Linked DNA regions of Arabidopsis thaliana. The protein of the gene in region 1 purifies or fractionates together with the protein of each later gene. This does not show direct contact. Each region holds a gene or a part of one and is shown in the gene's direction. Other genes may lie near its edges.

What was found. The genes of interacting proteins can lie anywhere in the genome.
Region 2: the proteins of SDH5 (region 1) and AT5G12040 purify together in Arabidopsis thaliana (affinity purification with mass spectrometry, with the first as the bait; one large-scale study listed by BioGRID). This does not show direct contact.
Region 3: the proteins of SDH5 (region 1) and CYTC-1 purify together in Arabidopsis thaliana (affinity purification with mass spectrometry, with the first as the bait; one large-scale study listed by BioGRID). This does not show direct contact.

Annotation. Positions count from the first base shown.
Region 1 is NC_003070.9:17,392,694-17,401,170, reverse strand, and holds SDH5 (succinate dehydrogenase 5), read left to right. Parts: upstream 1-3,907; 5' UTR 3,908-3,994; coding exon 3,995-4,109; intron 4,110-4,251; coding exon 4,252-4,356; intron 4,357-4,463; coding exon 4,464-4,774; intron 4,775-4,851; coding exon 4,852-5,037; intron 5,038-5,340; coding exon 5,341-5,397; 3' UTR 5,398-5,653; downstream 5,654-8,477. Other genes in the region: AT1G47410 (uncharacterized protein), read right to left, coding at 5,663-6,085, 6,207-6,353.
Region 2 is NC_003076.8:3,883,018-3,888,577, forward strand, and holds AT5G12040 (Nitrilase/cyanide hydratase and apolipoprotein N-acyltransferase family protein), read left to right. Parts: upstream 1-1,931; 5' UTR 1,932-2,144; coding exon 2,145-2,405; intron 2,406-2,491; coding exon 2,492-2,608; intron 2,609-2,757; coding exon 2,758-2,982; intron 2,983-3,305; coding exon 3,306-3,399; intron 3,400-3,756; coding exon 3,757-3,831; intron 3,832-3,946; coding exon 3,947-4,025; intron 4,026-4,118; coding exon 4,119-4,134; coding exon of another isoform or gene 4,135-4,152; exon of another isoform or gene 4,153-4,342; coding exon 4,343-4,423; intron 4,424-4,512; coding exon 4,513-4,595; intron 4,596-4,676; coding exon 4,677-4,755; 3' UTR 4,756-5,060; downstream 5,061-5,560. Other genes in the region: HSP17.6A (heat shock protein 17.6A), read right to left, coding at 1,197-1,667. UniProt on the Arabidopsis thaliana protein: Omega-amidase involved in the metabolism of asparagine. Probably also closely coupled with glutamine transamination in the methionine salvage cycle.
Region 3 is NC_003070.9:8,077,680-8,081,074, forward strand, and holds CYTC-1 (CYTOCHROME C-1), read left to right. Parts: upstream 1-1,607; 5' UTR 1,608-1,704; coding exon 1,705-1,816; intron 1,817-1,832; exon of another isoform or gene 1,833-2,295; coding exon 2,296-2,429; coding exon of another isoform or gene 2,430-2,433; intron 2,434-2,508; coding exon 2,509-2,607; 3' UTR 2,608-2,895; downstream 2,896-3,395. Other genes in the region: AT1G22830 (Tetratricopeptide repeat (TPR)-like superfamily protein), read left to right, coding at 1-1,353; AT1G22850 (SNARE associated Golgi protein family), read right to left, coding at 2,992-3,039, 3,236-3,346. UniProt on the Arabidopsis thaliana protein: Electron carrier protein. The oxidized form of the cytochrome c heme group can accept an electron from the heme group of the cytochrome c1 subunit of cytochrome reductase.

The DNA of each region.
Region 1 (8,477 bases):
ATGACAAAGTATTGATAGGGAGAAACAATTGATTGTCGCCCCCAAAATTTTGGGAATTTTTTCTTTACAAAAAAGCCCCCAATTTTTTTTTTCCCTTTTAGAAATTTTTTAGGCCCCCCAAATTTTAGGGCTGACAGTGAGTATTGTTCGAGAACACATAAAGAAACAGAGCTAATAAGACATCGACGAAGAAGAAGAAAGTGTAAGAACGGTAATAGTTTGGTGTTACGCCTCTCATCTTCACGATTTTCTTTCTTTTTTTGGTAGGCGTACGACTCTCTTTCTTATGCTTTTCTTTGTTTCTTAAAACCTATATTTATAGATTTCTTCACATGTTTTTTTTCTTTTGAATTTAATATTAAATTATATTCAAGAAAAAATAAACATGTTTACATCAAAGTGCATACTGTTTTTAATTTAAATCATGATAGGAAGAACTCATAGATTAAAACTGTTGTCATGATTGAAACCAAAATTGTATGCCTCCTGCGTACTTTGAGTCCCCTCCACTCTGAATGGTGCTTAGCCTGCTGCGAATGTTTTTGTCGATCATTTTTACAAGTCTCATAATTGTTGAGTGATCTTCACTGTGTTTCCTGTTATTTCGCTCTCTCCAAATAGAGTGAATGGCATTCTGAAAAATGTACCGAAGGATGAGACACTTTGTTTTGCCAAGATCATTTCCTTGTATCAACTTGAGGATGTCTCTCCAGCTAGCTGTGAAGTCGGTGGTGAGAATCCCCTTTGCTAGTTCCCGCCACACCTGAAAAGAAAAGGGACATAAGAAGAACAGATGTTCCCAAGTCTCCATAGGATCTTGGCAAAAGATGCAACTTGAATCAGCTTGTCTATTCCACTTGAGCATCCGAGCTCCGGTTGTTACTCTGTTTTTTGCGACTAACCAAGTGATGAAGGAGTATTTTGGAGTCAAGTAGGGGAACCAGATTCCTTTGTAATCCTCCATCAATGGCCTAGTGTTACGTATCTGCATCCACGTTTCTTTCGAATTAAAAACGTTTCGGTGATGGTCATTTCTCCCTTTCCATAGCCCGATATCAGTCTCATCATTTTGTTGTGCAGGTTTCTGGCTTTTGATAGCGTTTTCAACCGTATTTAAGAGGTCCTGCCTATGTTTCTTTCTTCGATTCATGGACATTACCTCCCCCACAGTTGCAGTAACTCAGATTCCCAAGTCAATACATCCTCTTATCCCAAGTTTTTCATATAGACAGCCTATATTACTCCATTCATCAAACCAAAATGAGGTCGTTTCTCCATTTTTGACCTCTACTCTATAGAACTGTTGTGCTATCCCTCTATATTCCATATCCAAGAACCGCAAGTTGTAGTGTCTTTTACTGCCGAGAAGGAGCCTTTTCTTATGAAATATTTCTTTACCCATTCAACCCACAAAGATCCTTTAGCCGACAGTATACGCCATATCAACTTTAATACACTTACTTTGTTTGCTTCTTCAATCGACCGCAGCCCTAGTCCACCTTCATTCTTTGGTGTGCAGACCTCAGTCCATGCCACTTTTACCTTTCAAGGGTTCATCGATGGTCTTGACCACAGAGAACTTGAACACAGTTTATCTATTTCTTGAAAGCATGCTTTGGGCAGCCGGAAAGCAGCTATCCAAAAATTTGTAAGACTGAAGATCAACAAAAATTTCTTCACATGTTGATTTTCAAATTTGGAAAACTCTATACAATTGTTTCTAGCAGACAAGATAAATGTAAATTTTCCACGTTCTATGACTTTTCAGTACCTCATTGATTCACTTCAACAGACTACTGTCATCATTAGTCGATAACGTCACCATGTGAAATTAATTTGCTCGTGCAACATAACATATGTTGTTCAACAAGTATATTTATTCATCCATGATCCTCGTCCCAAGAAAGTCATGCTATGGCACTTGTAAATGCATCCAACGTTACGTTCGATGTATTTTAATCTCCTCGATCATGGCCGTGCTATCTTTTTTTATTATTTGTTTTGGCCATGCAAAAATATTGCTACTTCATTTTTGTAATTTTATCACATATATAAATGTTTGAACTATGAAATTCTATTAATTTATAAAAGTATTAATTTATCGATAAATTAATAATTATTAATTTGTAGAGATTTTAGACTAATTTTGTAATTTAAAAAAAAATATTATGTCTGAATTTTTTCTTCTTCTTTATAATCATTATATTTTTAACTTTACGATGGTAACGTTAAACCTCAAATAATAATAAATTATTAACTTTAGAAAATAAAAAAAAGAACGTTTTCGATGTAGTAAAAAGATATTAAATAAACTTTACCAAGAATTAATATAAATAAAAATAAAAATATTAGCAAATTCATATTTCACTATTTTTCTTCCGTATAACATATATATATTTAAAAAAACTTTTACAATTATTAATTTATGATATTAATGAGACCATATATTTACATAAAATTTTCAAAAATTTATTATTTAATTAATATATCGATTTGTGTTATTTTTTACATTGATCTTAACTCTTATACGATAATCTGAAAACAATTTAGGCTCTTATTGGTAACACACATAATGCAGAAAATTTGCCAATAAAAAAAATCTGCATAATTGTATTAGAAAACGCAAAAACGTAAGATTTGTATTTTTGTTTTAAGTAAAAATTCATTATGCCAAAAAGTGTGTATATAATTATTTATTTGCATAATATAATCTTATTATTCTATGCATACAAATATTAGCAATTGTAAAAAAAAAAGTATCATAGTTTACACAAAATTATATCATTAGTAATACAAAAAAACATTTTCATAACTTTTTAATAAATTTTAATTATCTTACATTTTTAGTATCGAAAATTACTCAAATATACTAATTTGTTTTAAACATTATTTTTTATTAAGTTTATATATATATATATATATCTACATATATATTGTTAATATAATATTTTTTTTTTAACAACTTCAACTTTATTAAATTGTATAAGGTTGATACAAATAAGAAAGTAAGAAACGAGGAGGGACAATAAAGAACTGATACAGAGTAGTAGTAGACAGAACGTATTGAGCCATCTTATCTGCAGCACTATTTCGTTCACGATTGACATGGAGTAGAGATACGTTGGATAGTTTGGCCATCCAATGACGAATATCGTAAAGAAGAGCCCCTATCAGAGAATGATCATCACCATTATTGATAGTTGCTATAAGTTCTTGGTTGTCTCCATCAAAACAAACATTTTTTATTCCACAAGCCCAAACTACTTGAAGGACATGTAACAACCCGGTAGCTTCCGCCTGTAAAGGTGAATTAGTCGATGGTAGTTTTCAACAGCCTGTAATTAAAACCTTTCCTTCATCGTCCCTTATCAACCATCCCGTATTTGTAAAGGATCGTCCCAGCATAAAGCCACTGTCAAAATTACACTTCACCCATCCTCTTGGTGGTGGTCGCCATTGAGAACCTCTGTCATGAACCGTATTCTTGTTTGTTTGACTACCTCTTGTGCCTTCAGTATAACTGTTTGCTTCCAGCCATTCATTTGCCTCGTGTCGTCCTATGTGTTCTTCGGTTTGTGGCAGTCTCATGATCTTCTTGAAATATTTATTTGTCATTTTGCAAAATATATCCAATTAATATATTTTAAAATTAGTTTCATTCGACGATTTTTTAGTTTGCAAATTTTCATTCTGCGAAATTTTTATTCTACAATTTATGTCATTATGCTATTATGCAATTTTAGCAATCGGAACCTTAAGGAAAAAAACCGACAAGCGAACCGTTCTGTATGTATTTCGGTTATTTTCAGCCAGCCCTATTTATTTGGTTAAGCTTAGATTAAAAAGTTTCGGTTTGGTTCAATTTGATATGGTTTGGAGGTCAACAACAAAATCAACGAACTGAATAAAGCGATCGCGTTGGTTCTCTTCTTCAAAACAAGCTCTCTCTGTCCCTCTCTGTCTCTCTCTTTGGGTAATCGGAAAAATCAGAAAAATGGGAACCCTAGGACGAGCGATTCACACTGTGGGTAATCGGATTCGTGGAACTGCCCAAGCCCAAGCTCGCGTTGGTTCTCTTCTTCAAGGAAGCCACCACATCGAGAAACATCGTAAGCTTCCACTTGCTTCGCTCTATTGAACCCTAGATCCAATTCTGTATCTCTCATTTGTATCAATAATTTCCTTTTGATTCGAGAAATTTGTAGTTTAGATTGAAAACTTTGATTTGAGAAATTTGTGGTTTGTTTTCAGTGTCGAGGCATCGGACGTTGATTACTGTGGCTCCGAACGCTTCTGTGATTGGTGATGTTCAGATCAATAAAGGCTCGTTCATTTCGTATGCAAGTGTTTCTCGTGGTGAGCCTCCTGATTTCTTTACGAATGCATTTTGTAGATACATTGATTAGGTGTTTTGAGAGGTCTATTTGTGCGTGCACTTCGTATTTGACTGTAAAAATACGCAGATTTGCAGTATCCTCGTGCAATGGGAATGGGACAGGTCCGGAGATTTAGCGAAGATGTTTCTCACATGCCTGAAATGGAAGACTCTGATGTTCTGAATGCATTCAAAGACTTGATGGCTGCAGATTGGGCTGAGCTTCCTTCTGCTGTTGTTAAAGATGCTAAAACCGCGATATCGAAAAACACAGATGACAAGGCAGGGCAAGAGGCTTTGAAAAATGTGTTCCGAGCAGCTGAAGCTGTAGAGGAATTTGGTGGGATTCTCACTTCGATTAAGATGGAAATCGATGATAGCATTGGAATGAGTGGGGAGGTTTGTTTGTTTGTTTCCTTCACTAAACCATTTTCTTGATTTCTGGTTGTTTGATGTTTTAGTTGTATTGTGTGCAGGGTGTGAAGCCTTTACCAAATGATATAACCGATGCGCTGCGTACTGCTTATCAGAGGTATGCTGAGTATCTAGACTCCTTTGAACCTGAAGAAGTCTACTTGAAGAAGAAGGTTGAGATGGAGTTGGGGACTAAGATGATCCACTTGAAGATGAGATGCAGCGGGCTTGGTTCTGAATGGGGAAAGGTAATCAAATCTGATCTATACTCTCAAAACACGTACTCTGTTGATTTGCATCTTTGACAGCATCATATAAGCTAGAATAAGCCTGATTAAAGTATGAGTTTGCATAATTATTTACGATTTCAACTTGTCCTCCAAAGTCTCACTCGTACTATATGTGATCTTTTTTTCTCAACCTTATGCATCTTTTAGGCTAGCTATCCGAATGAAATCATATAGAATTTGGCAGAAACTAGTGTTTTCATTTAGACGAAACCACTGAACCAGTAGTTGTCTTGCTAACGCTTTGTTTTAATATTTTTGTAGGTTACTGTTCTTGGAACCTCAGGACTCTCGGGATCTTACGTGGAGCAAAGGGCCTAAAACAAAAAGAGAAGATCTAGAATTACGTGCGAAGCTTGTTATGTTGTTATTGCGTTATTTTGTCTTAGCACATAATAAAGGTCAATCTGACCAAAAGACATATCAGGTGAGTCTGTTCATTGTTTCCTCCAAATGAAGCTTTAAAATTTAGAGCTTAACACCAATTGAAAAATAAACTCACATGAATTTGTGTTCATTTGTTACTGTTTCCTTTTATGAGAGATCTTTTGTTTATAATGATTCAATATTTTGAGCTACCTTTTTGTCAAACAAAAGGAACTGGAGTAACTCTTGTAGGCTTCCTCCAAGACCATGACTCTGCAGGTGACTTTGGAAGCGGTGGAAGCAACGCAGCTTTTCGTCCCAATCCAAATGGCCATCCTTGGCAATGACAGAACTCTTGAATCACTGATCCTTTCTTAATTTCATTAACGTAATGCATCTTCCATTGATTCTCCAGCTCTAAACCTTTCAAGCTTGAACTCCTTGAGAACTCAGTTTTCGCTGTCATGTATCCTTCTATGCTGATATCACTCATGCAACATTCCGAAAAACTGCTTCTTACCGAACAGAATTCGTTTTCGATGTCATATTCTTTTACGAATTTGTAAGTTAGCCCCTCCATTCCTGTCCTTCGCTTCTTCCTTAGTTTTTCCATCGCCCGACTTCTGATCTCGAAAACAACAACCTGAAATCAACAATCACAAAACGAAAGGTTGTGTAATTCGTGTAATTCGTGTTGTCGAAGAATAGTTATAGAAGAAAGCAAAAATGAAAAACAAAGGCAAATGAATGAGTTTTCTAGTTACTTCATGGTCGTAGTCAAAATCCCCGATAGGCTTGTTATCATCATCGGCTTCGTGATCAGAAAGTGTAACTTTTCTGCCTTTGCATCTGTAACAATAAGTGATAGCATCTCTCACCCCTGTGGCAACGTCGTCACCGCAAAATACCATTCTCAGCTGCAAATTTTATTTCTAAACTCAATGATTTGTAATAGAATACAAATGAGTGAAAGGTTGAAATCTCTAGATAATTTCTGAGTTTAGGATTTATAGACAAAACTGAGCTGCACAATGACAGTTTATCTAACATCACTTGTGTTCTTTTCAATGCACGCAACACCACTTTCGTTTTCATACCTTTCTACTGTTTATTATCTGATGAACAATTAAAGAAATATTACGACCATTGACCAAGATTAGATTCTGAAAGTACAAAATCATCCTAATTAGGCTTCCGGATATTAAGACAAATCAGGGTTAAGTAAATAGAAAACAACTTTACGAATTCATCTCAAAAAAGTTCTAAGTTGATTATGTTGAAAAAATATCATATCTTACTTGAAGCAAAATACATGAAAGTGATAGAGAAACTATAAGACATGGCACCAAACTAACGTTATCATGACACGCAAAGATAGTATAGATCTTCTTTTCTGTTTTACATTTTGTAATTTTTCTTACTCACCAATAAAATACGTGTAAAACAAAGAAATCGACCTTATCTTAACCTTCTTCAACATTTTGATATTGTGGTTATATTCAATAATTAAAAGAAACATACCTTCAGGATCTTTGTTTGTAATCTATATTCCTTCAAGAATTAGGACATTTTTACATCCTCGAGAAGCTAACTGTACTTTAGCAAAATATATAACAGAAGCTTAGTGTATGTTTATCAATGGTTTTTCTTCTGAAATGTCTTTGGATTCTGTATAGATCTATTGTTTTTCTTTTGACATCATATATATCTTATTTTTAGGAAAGCTCTAAATCTATGACCACCATTATTTCATTCACATGCTCCCACAAAGTCATAATTACACCAAGAACCCAACTCCTTTTTGGCCGTGCCTTACTTTTATCCCAAAATTTGATTTATTTGCTTTAATTTCCACATTATTAAATTTACAACGACCATCTATATATAATCATACCATTGCCTTCTCGATTTGTAATTGACTGGGCCATTTCTTTTAGTAATTTGGTGTTGTTGAATCAAAACATACCATATTGCTGTTACAATATTTCTCTATCATAGGCCCAAGCTAATTGAGTAAATCTTATTGTATAAAACTTGATTCATCTAATTAAACTACGTGAATATTATTAGTACGTCTTTTCATACTTTTTTGACTTTTGAGTTTATTACAATCCTGAATTTAGATCATTATAGTAAGTTATACTATATATATACTTAGTGTACAATATAACATTCCAATCTATGTTAATGTTAGATAGATATTTTGAATTTTGATTTATCTTCAATTATTGTGATGGTTAGAAGATGAACTCTAAAATTTACATATATAGAAAAAAAATTGCATAACTCTTATCACTGCAGTAAAAAGATTTTTTTTTATTTTTTTTTGGCAAAGTAAAAAGAATTATTTATGTTCATCACTCGCATATAACTAATGAAAAGATATTGTAAAGAGAAGATTTTAAAGAATTTTGGCACAACAAAAAAACTGATAATCAATACGTGTGAAACCTAAACAAGTGTGACAAGCATAATATGTTAATTTATATATTTGTATCAATTGTGCATTTAAAATTAAATAATATTGTAATTCGATTTATCAAAATATTTTTTTAATTTTAATATTATATTTTAAAATTTTAAAGAAGGATTTTGTTTTTTGTTTTTTTTTGGCAAAACGAAGTTTTGGTTTCTAGAAGACTCCTTAAATGGTATCATGATACTTTAACTACCATGATCATCACAATTTACAGGCTATATGTAATGATACTGCACTATTTTCGTTTATTTTTTCATTAAAATAAATAAAGTGAAATCAAGTGAGCTTGAGAGAATAAAATGCTCGACGATTTATAGTGAAAGTGTTAAGTAGACAAAACATAAAGGAAGCCCTAGGGCCGTTAAATAATTAATATACGAAGTACAAAATCATGGTTGGTTCACTACGCTTTAGCCTAATAGAGATAAAATTCATTCATGCTGCTGGAGCGTAATCATAGATAACGTCATCATCGTTGTCACCGTTTTCGACAAATGCAGTTTGAGCATACTCAAATACTTGATCATTGTTAGCGATGTTGACTCCAATGCATGTT
Region 2 (5,560 bases), on another chromosome or scaffold:
CGCGGTCTTTAGAAGTTCTTCCGTATTGTTCGAGAAACGTCTTGGTCGTTCTGGTTTTTGTGAACTCTGTAACTCAGGTTTGATAAAATATGAGCCATAACTTTACAGAATTTTTAATATCTATATGGGCTTTTAAATTAGGAATATATCAAGGCCCATTCCATATGTGAAAATAGTTCATGATTCATAAGATTAGTGTTTTAGCAAATTAAAGAACAAATTTTGTGATTTAAGGAATCCGAACAATATTGCTCATTTTAAAGAATACATTCAACTGGAAAGTACATACAATTGCTGAAGACTTGGATTACAAGTGTACAACATGCACCTCAAGATCAGAAGTTCAAAGTCTTAATGATGGAAACAAGACTAAATTAGTATATGCTCTGGTTTCTGGTCAGAAAAATTAATGAAAGACCATATTTATTTTAGTGACCAAAGAAAAATACTATATATGTGGTAGCACTAACTCACTGAATACCACTAAATCGTGTATAACGACATTAATATAAGCTATTAAAGACGGTTACAAATCTGCACAAAACTTGATTTGTCTTAAAACTCAGTTGATGTTATTTGCATTCGCAAATGCAAATTTCATTTAAAAAATAATGTAGCAGATTGAGATATCAGACTTCGTATTATACTACAGATGTAGTAGCTGAAGATTCAGTTACGTTATCCAACATGAAAAAAGTACAAAGAGTTGTTTGGATTTTAAAATCAGAATAACAAAATTGTTTCCTTTCATCTAATACTTAAAGGATAAAATTGAATATGTAAGAGTTTTTGCAGATATAATAACACTGTGTTACTGATCTCATACCCATAAATTACTTCAAGGGACATAACTCCAAAAATATATTTTGCTGACTGCAGAGATAAGGGTGAAATGCAAATGTGGATTTGATGGCCAATGTGCTAAATAGCACCAATGATATTAGGAAAGGATGAACAGTAATAATTTCTGCAAAAACAGAGGAATGACCATTCGGTGTCTTTTTTGTTGTGGTCCTATTTTTGCCTCATAAGCATGGATGGTTCAAGAGAGCAAAAACTTCATTGATTTGAAGATTGAACACAAAGACAAATATGAACAGAGAAAACTATTTTTATTTCATTTTACAACGAACACCAAGAGGTAGTTGCTTATCGATTACATTCATTAAAACACAAAAACACGATCACAAACAAACTCAAGCGACTTGAACTTGTATAGTCTTTGGTTTCTTTGGCTCAGGAGGAGGAAGTTTCGGAATAGTCACTTTCAACACACCGTCATTACAAGCCGCAGAGATCTTCTCCAAATCTGCATTATCAGGTAACTGAAACTTCCTCATAAACTTCCCCATCCTCCTCTCCATCCTCACAAACTTCACACCTTCATTCTCCTTGTTGTCCCTCTGTCTTTTGCCACTCACCACAAGCACGTTCTCGTTCTCTATCTGGACCTGAATCTCATCTCCTTTGATTCCAGGCATGTCCACGGCGAAAACGTACGCATCCGGGTGCTCGATAACGTCAGCTGGTGTAGCAGCCATTGCCTTTGCGTCTCGCATGTAAGCTCTTGAAGGGTTGTTACGAGTCTTCTCGGTTTGTTCTTCAGGGGCTTCAAGCATGTCTTCGAGGATTGAAAATATTGGAAACCTTCCAAACTCCAAATCCATTCTTAGCTGTTGTGTTAACTTTCTTGCTTCTTGGCTTTTTCTTTGGTTTGATTGATTTTGATTTTGATGTAAGAAAGTATTAAATAGAAGTTGAGTTGGATAGTTCTAGAGCAATGTAGAGAGAGCGATTGTTTCGGTGTTATAGAACTTAAAAGCGCTTCTCTAACGTTCGAGAAACGTCTTGATCGTTGGAGAAGTGTAGATGGATATTTCTAGACGAATGTAGAGAAAAGCGATTGATTCGGTCAGGCCCAAGACCAATTCGTTTTCAGGCCCATATGTATTCTGTTTTGGATTTAGTAAGGATGTTAAATTTATCCGGTTTGGTACGATTTCATTCGAATTTAGTGTATAAAATTGATTGAACCGCGTCAATACGGTTGAAACGCAAACGCAGAGGATTCATGAGTCATGGCTTTTGTGAGGTGAAGTATCAATATCATCTACCTACCTATATGATCATCGGACTAAAGTGAAATGAAGTCAGCAATTTCATCGTCACTCTTCTTCAATTCGAAGAATCTTTTAAACCCTAATCCTCTTTCTCGCTTCATTTCTCTCAAATCTAACTTCCTCCCTAAATTATCTCCGAGATCGATCACTAGTCACACCTTGAAGCTCCCATCTTCGTCAACCTCAGCTTTAAGATCCATTTCCTCTTCCATGGCTTCTTCTTTCAACCCTGAACAAGCTAGAGTTCCCTCTGCTCTTCCTCTCCCAGCTCCTCCGTTGACCAAAGTTAGCTCCTTTCTTTTCATTTACCTTTGGGTTTTCAATCATTTCAGCTTTTGATTGATTTCTTCGTTCCATGGGTAATTTTGTAGTTCAACATCGGATTGTGTCAGCTATCTGTTACATCTGACAAAAAGAGAAACATCTCTCATGCTAAAAAAGCCATTGAAGAAGCTGCTTCTAAAGGAGCTAAGCTTGTTCTCTTACCCGTGAGTTTTTCTTCTTTGTATCTTAGCTCATAGCTCTTTGTGAGTTCAATTCTAATGTTCTGTTGCTCAAATGTGTAAAATTTACAAAAAGTATGAGCTAGTGGTATCGTCTCTATGGGGTTTAAAACCATTCAATGGGTTTGTTTCAGGAAATTTGGAACAGTCCGTATTCCAATGATAGTTTTCCAGTTTATGCGGAGGAGATTGATGCAGGTGGTGATGCTTCTCCTTCAACGGCAATGCTTTCTGAAGTTTCCAAACGTCTCAAGATTACAATCATTGGTGGATCTATACCAGAAAGAGTTGGAGATCGTTTGTATAACACTTGCTGTGTCTTTGGTTCCGATGGAGAGCTAAAAGCTAAGCATCGGAAGGTTAGATTTTTTGAGATTAAACTTTCATAGAAGAAATAATGAACTTTCCTCTGCTTTAGGCCATAGAATGAAAGATGCTAATCTTACTTCTAAAATCGTTGTTCATCTTTTATCATCTGTTTTTAGGATCTAATAGACTTAGAATCAGTAATTAGAATGATGTGGTAGTTATGTTCTGGTTCGAGTTCTTCCTCTATGATTCATAAGGACAAATTATGAGGCGAGATGGCCTTGACCGTTTTATGCTTATATTATCAATTCTCAGAACATCTTGTTTTTGATTGCTTGCACTTATTTGTGTTTGTACTTGTGTGTGCATACAGATACATTTATTTGATATAGACATTCCCGGGAAGATTACTTTTATGGAATCCAAAACTCTTACTGCTGGAGAGACACCAACAATCGTTGACACAGGTTATAATCTTGGTTTGCCAAATATAATTCCAGGTCATGCATAAACAATCATGTATCTTACATAAACTCATTGTGGTACTATCTAAAAATAATAATTTAGGATTAAGGATTTAAATTTCCAGTCAGATTTGGGATCTTCTTAGCTCAACAGTGAAATGATTCATTTTCATGCTGGCCTAGTGTTTATGAATAATAATGTTTTTAAGATCTTGCCAACTATTTTGACTGGGGAAATGTCTTTATTGAACAATCAAGTCATAGTAGGACCGTTCACATCACCTCTCACTTTCTAGTACTTATGAGAAATCTTTAACGCGGTGCAGCGCTTGAGAATGATAGTTTTGTTGGTTGTTGCAGATGTAGGGCGTATTGGAATAGGCATCTGTTATGATATCAGGTTCCAGGAGTTAGCTATGATATATGCTGCAAGAGGTGAGTCTTCATATCATAATGCTTTATCCAAATGGACTATCTGCTTCCTCTCTTTTTCGGGTCCATTACGTTTTAAAGAACCTCATCACCCACATGTTTACTTTAATCATATCAGGGGCTCATTTGCTGTGCTACCCGGGAGCCTTTAACATGACAACTGGACCATTGCATTGGGAATTACTACAAAGGGCCAGGTATGATTCACAGTCTACTACATTACGACTTTCTTGGCTTATTTAATCATGGGTAAATCACAATGCTCATCGATCTGTTTTGTTCCATTTCAGGGCTACGGATAATCAGGTACATGAACCAAGTTAAATACTTGTATTGATAGCCAAAAGAGAGATACAAGTTCTGACATTTCTTAATGAATTCATAGCAAACCTGCATTTTTCTTTGAGTTATCAATACAAGTATTATCTTCTGCTCTTTGGGGTTAGTTTTACTTAATTGACTGTTATCAAAGTCATGGACCGGTTAATAGAACTATGTATGCTACTTTCTCCAGTTATATGTGGCGACATGCTCACCTGCCAGAGATTCAGGAGCTGGCTACACTGCTTGGGGGCACTCAACACTCGTTGGGCCTGTAAGCACTAAACTTTTTCTGTGTTACTTGATTGATAATGAAGCTTTTAGCTGATCACTAAACTTTGAAACATATATATTATTTGACAGTTTGGAGAAGTACTAGCAACGACTGAGCATGAGGAGGCCATTATCATAGCAGAGATTGATTACTCTATCCTTGAACAACGAAGGTAATCACGGAAACACCAGAACTTTCTTGGTTTTTGATAGCGTGATCCGCTAACTGAATCTCGTTTTTTTTACCATCTTAGGACTAGCCTTCCATTGAATAGGCAGCGGCGGGGAGATCTTTACCAGCTTGTAGACGTACAGCGCTTAGACTCTAAATGAACGCAGCAGTAACTGTATATCTGAGAGATATTGCGAGTTGAGCACGATTTGGTTACTTACAACTTCATGCATGATCAGTCATTTCTCCACAACTTTGCTGAGATATGTAAAAGAATAAAAATCAAACTTTTGAGTTAAAATCGAACAAAGGCAAGTAAATTCTGCTTAGATAATGTGAACTCCACCCACTTGCCATGTGTTTGTTGTTTATAAACTTCAATGCATTCTGATAACAATGTAGACTTGTGATTCGCAATCAGAATAGCATTTGACTTTTTTATCAAAATATATACACTATTTTTGTGAATTTCTCAGTAAATGTCATTGTCTATGAAAAAAACAACTCATATCTTCATTCCACAACCATCATATTCAATATCGAGTACTTACTTAAACTAAAATTGTTATAACTGGTTCTTCAAATGTTCACACCTACTCAAAACGTTTCATCACATAACTCAAGTCAAGTCAAAGATAGCCATGGTATATTTTGCTACACATCAAGATTTGTAATATGCAATGTAATTTGTTTTAGATGAGAAGAAGAAAAGAGTATATAGAGTATGCAGATAGGTTCATCCACAAGCACAAGTGGGATATAAAAGATTTGAAAATGAAATAACATATAAACTTTTGTCAGCGGCCTCAACATGATTTGAAGATCCGTGGTTATTGTTGAATGATAAATGACCGGACGACAAAATGCAGTTACAACAGCAGAAGCCTTACAAGATTCACCACAGTGTGTAGTGGTTTCGTCTTTGGAGAAGACACGTGGACCAAGCCTATAGGGTAAAGAAAGACG
Region 3 (3,395 bases), 9.3 Mb from region 1:
AATGCAATAATCAACTGTTATACTTCAGAAGAAAAGTTAGGGGAAGCTTTTAAGCTTCTTGATAGAATGTATCTCTCTGGTGTCGAAGCGAGTATTGTAACTTGGAACACAATAGCTGGAGGTTGTTTGGAGGCAGGAAATTACATAGGGGCTTTGAATTGTGTTGTTGGGATGAGAAATTGCAATGTAAGAATAGGTTCTGTAGCTATGATTAATGGTTTAAAGGCATGCTCACACATTGGAGCGTTAAAGTGGGGGAAAGTATTTCATTGCCTTGTGATCCGTAGTTGTAGTTTTTCCCATGATATTGACAATGTTCGGAATTCGTTGATCACAATGTACTCAAGATGCAGTGATCTTAGGCACGCGTTTATAGTGTTTCAGCAGGTTGAAGCAAATAGTTTGAGTACATGGAATTCTATCATTTCCGGTTTTGCATACAACGAGAGATCAGAAGAAACCTCTTTCCTGCTCAAGGAGATGTTGCTCTCTGGATTTCACCCAAATCACATTACGCTTGCTAGCATTCTCCCTCTTTTTGCTCGGGTGGGAAACCTGCAACATGGGAAAGAGTTTCACTGCTACATCCTGAGACGCCAAAGCTACAAGGACTGTTTAATCCTGTGGAACTCCCTTGTCGATATGTATGCAAAATCCGGTGAAATCATAGCTGCAAAGCGAGTATTTGATTCGATGAGGAAGAGGGACAAAGTGACATACACTTCTTTGATCGATGGATATGGCAGGCTGGGTAAAGGAGAAGTCGCATTGGCATGGTTCAAGGATATGGACAGATCCGGTATCAAACCTGATCATGTAACTATGGTTGCAGTTTTATCAGCTTGCAGCCATTCCAATTTAGTGCGTGAAGGACACTGGTTGTTTACGAAGATGGAGCATGTGTTTGGTATACGCCTTCGCCTTGAACACTATTCTTGTATGGTTGATCTTTATTGCAGAGCAGGTTACCTGGATAAAGCCAGAGATATATTCCATACAATACCTTACGAGCCATCAAGTGCTATGTGTGCTACTCTACTGAAAGCGTGCCTCATCCACGGGAACACAAACATTGGGGAGTGGGCTGCAGATAAGTTACTACTAGAAACAAAGCCAGAACACTTAGGTCACTATATGTTGCTTGCAGATATGTATGCAGTAACTGGTTCTTGGAGCAAGCTTGTAACGGTGAAGACTTTACTGAGTGACTTGGGCGTGCAAAAGGCTCATGAGTTTGCTTTGATGGAAACAGATTCGGAGTTAGATGGAGAGAATAATAAGCCGATGAACGATGATTCTGTCATCAATCAGGAGCAAAGTTCAGATGAAGAACGTCTTGTAGAAGTAGGATAAAGAATCAAATTCTGATAGAAATATTTTATCAAACTGGAGAATCAATTTGTACATAAATCTTATATACAACAAGTTTTAATTGCATGATTTCCTGTAAACATAAGTTTACATGAACTAGGGGATGGTCCTTCGCAAGTATGAGTAACAAGCATAAACAGCATTATATATGAAATAAATATGAGCCCACCTAAACCCATTAAGGGCCCATTAAGATTGGAGATACTGCTTTTTTAAGAGAGGTCACTTTTTCCACAGTGAAACCCTAAGGAAACTTCGGCAAGCTCCAGAGAAACGAGAGTTCCGTAATCATTTTCTCTTGTTGTTCCTGATCGCGTAGCTCAAGCGAAAAAAATGGCGTCGTTTGATGAAGCACCACCAGGAAACGCCAAGGCCGGTGAGAAGATCTTCAGGACCAAGTGTGCTCAGTGTCACACCGTCGAAGCAGGCGCCGGTCACAAACAAGGTTTTCACTCATCGATCTCTCTCACTCTTGAATTCTATTTCTATGGTTGATTTTCGCAATTTATCTGAATTTTTATCGGGCCTTTGTTTTACATCGCTTTATAATCGATTTGTTCATGTTAATCAAAAATCTCTGATGTGATCTGGTTAACGGATTCTTCGATTAGATCATAGATCTGATCCAATAACCTCGATGTCTTACTCGTGTTTATCCTTAAATCTTCAGCTCAATGCATGTGACGAATTTCTGAGGTTTTTATATACAACTTTTCGCATTTTTGTGGAACTTGATTCTCGAATTCTAAGTAATGATACAACAATGATTTGAGCTAGTTGCGTCACAGATTCTCATTTTTTCTTGAAATTGCGTGAAATTAGAAAACACTGTTGCTCAATGGTTTCTATTGTTTTCGTAGCTTTTGTAGAATGTGATTTGCGTCACATTGTTGCTCAACACTTGACCTTGTTGTTTTAATATAGGACCCAATCTAAACGGTCTATTTGGAAGACAATCTGGTACAACTGCTGGTTACTCTTACTCTGCTGCTAACAAGAACAAAGCTGTGGAATGGGAAGAGAAGGCCTTGTACGATTACTTGCTCAACCCCAAGAAGGTTTGTATAATCATGTCATGATTGTTTCATGAGTTGTTGTTGTTAACATTGAGATTGATGGCCTTTTTATATGATGCAGTACATACCAGGTACCAAGATGGTGTTCCCTGGGCTAAAGAAGCCGCAAGACCGTGCTGATCTCATCGCCTACTTGAAGGAATCTACTGCGCCTAAGTGAATCTGATGGTGGATTGATTCTGAGTTGTTAAGTCTCTCTCAGATGAGGCTTTTTTACTTTGCTATATTCTTTTGCCAAATAAAATCTCAAACTTTTTTTGTTTATCATCAATTACGTTCTTGGTGGGAATTTGGCTGTAATGTGTGCTGAGGCTCACTTTATCGAGTACATTTGATTTTCTGAGGCTCATTTTCCTTTTTTTTGTCTAGAAAGCATTTTCTCACTTATTATTGGTGCTTAAATTTGAAGGACAAAAAAGATTCGAATTATATATCAACTATTAACAATAATGGAGCAATACATTTAACGTTGATACATGATACTCTGTTGGCGTTTTACAAATCCTAGAGAGTCAAAACCATTATCCAATCGCTGGCTTGTTTCCTACTTTGCATCTCTCTTCTCATCATCATCAATATCCTTTATAGCATCCTGCAACACACGGCAAGTAAAAGATATACATGAGACAGATTCATTTCACTTTACATCTTTTAAGTTTCAACCAAATGTGGGACTTTTCTGAGCTTATATGCTACGAAGCTTTGAACCAGTTGGTTTGATATCAGAAGTGGGAGGCAAATATAACGCAGAACAGAGAAAGAAAAGAAGTAAACAAGTATGAGTTTACCTTTGCAAGGCTTGTCACATATGTTCCAGCCAATGCAGTAACCAACAGACCCACCCCGAGAGTTAAAAGCTGGCCGTTTCCTCCAGGCAAGCCAACATTAGATTCTTCTTGCTGAAGCGACATAGACAGAAGATTGTCATTTGATGATTTTATGATGCTT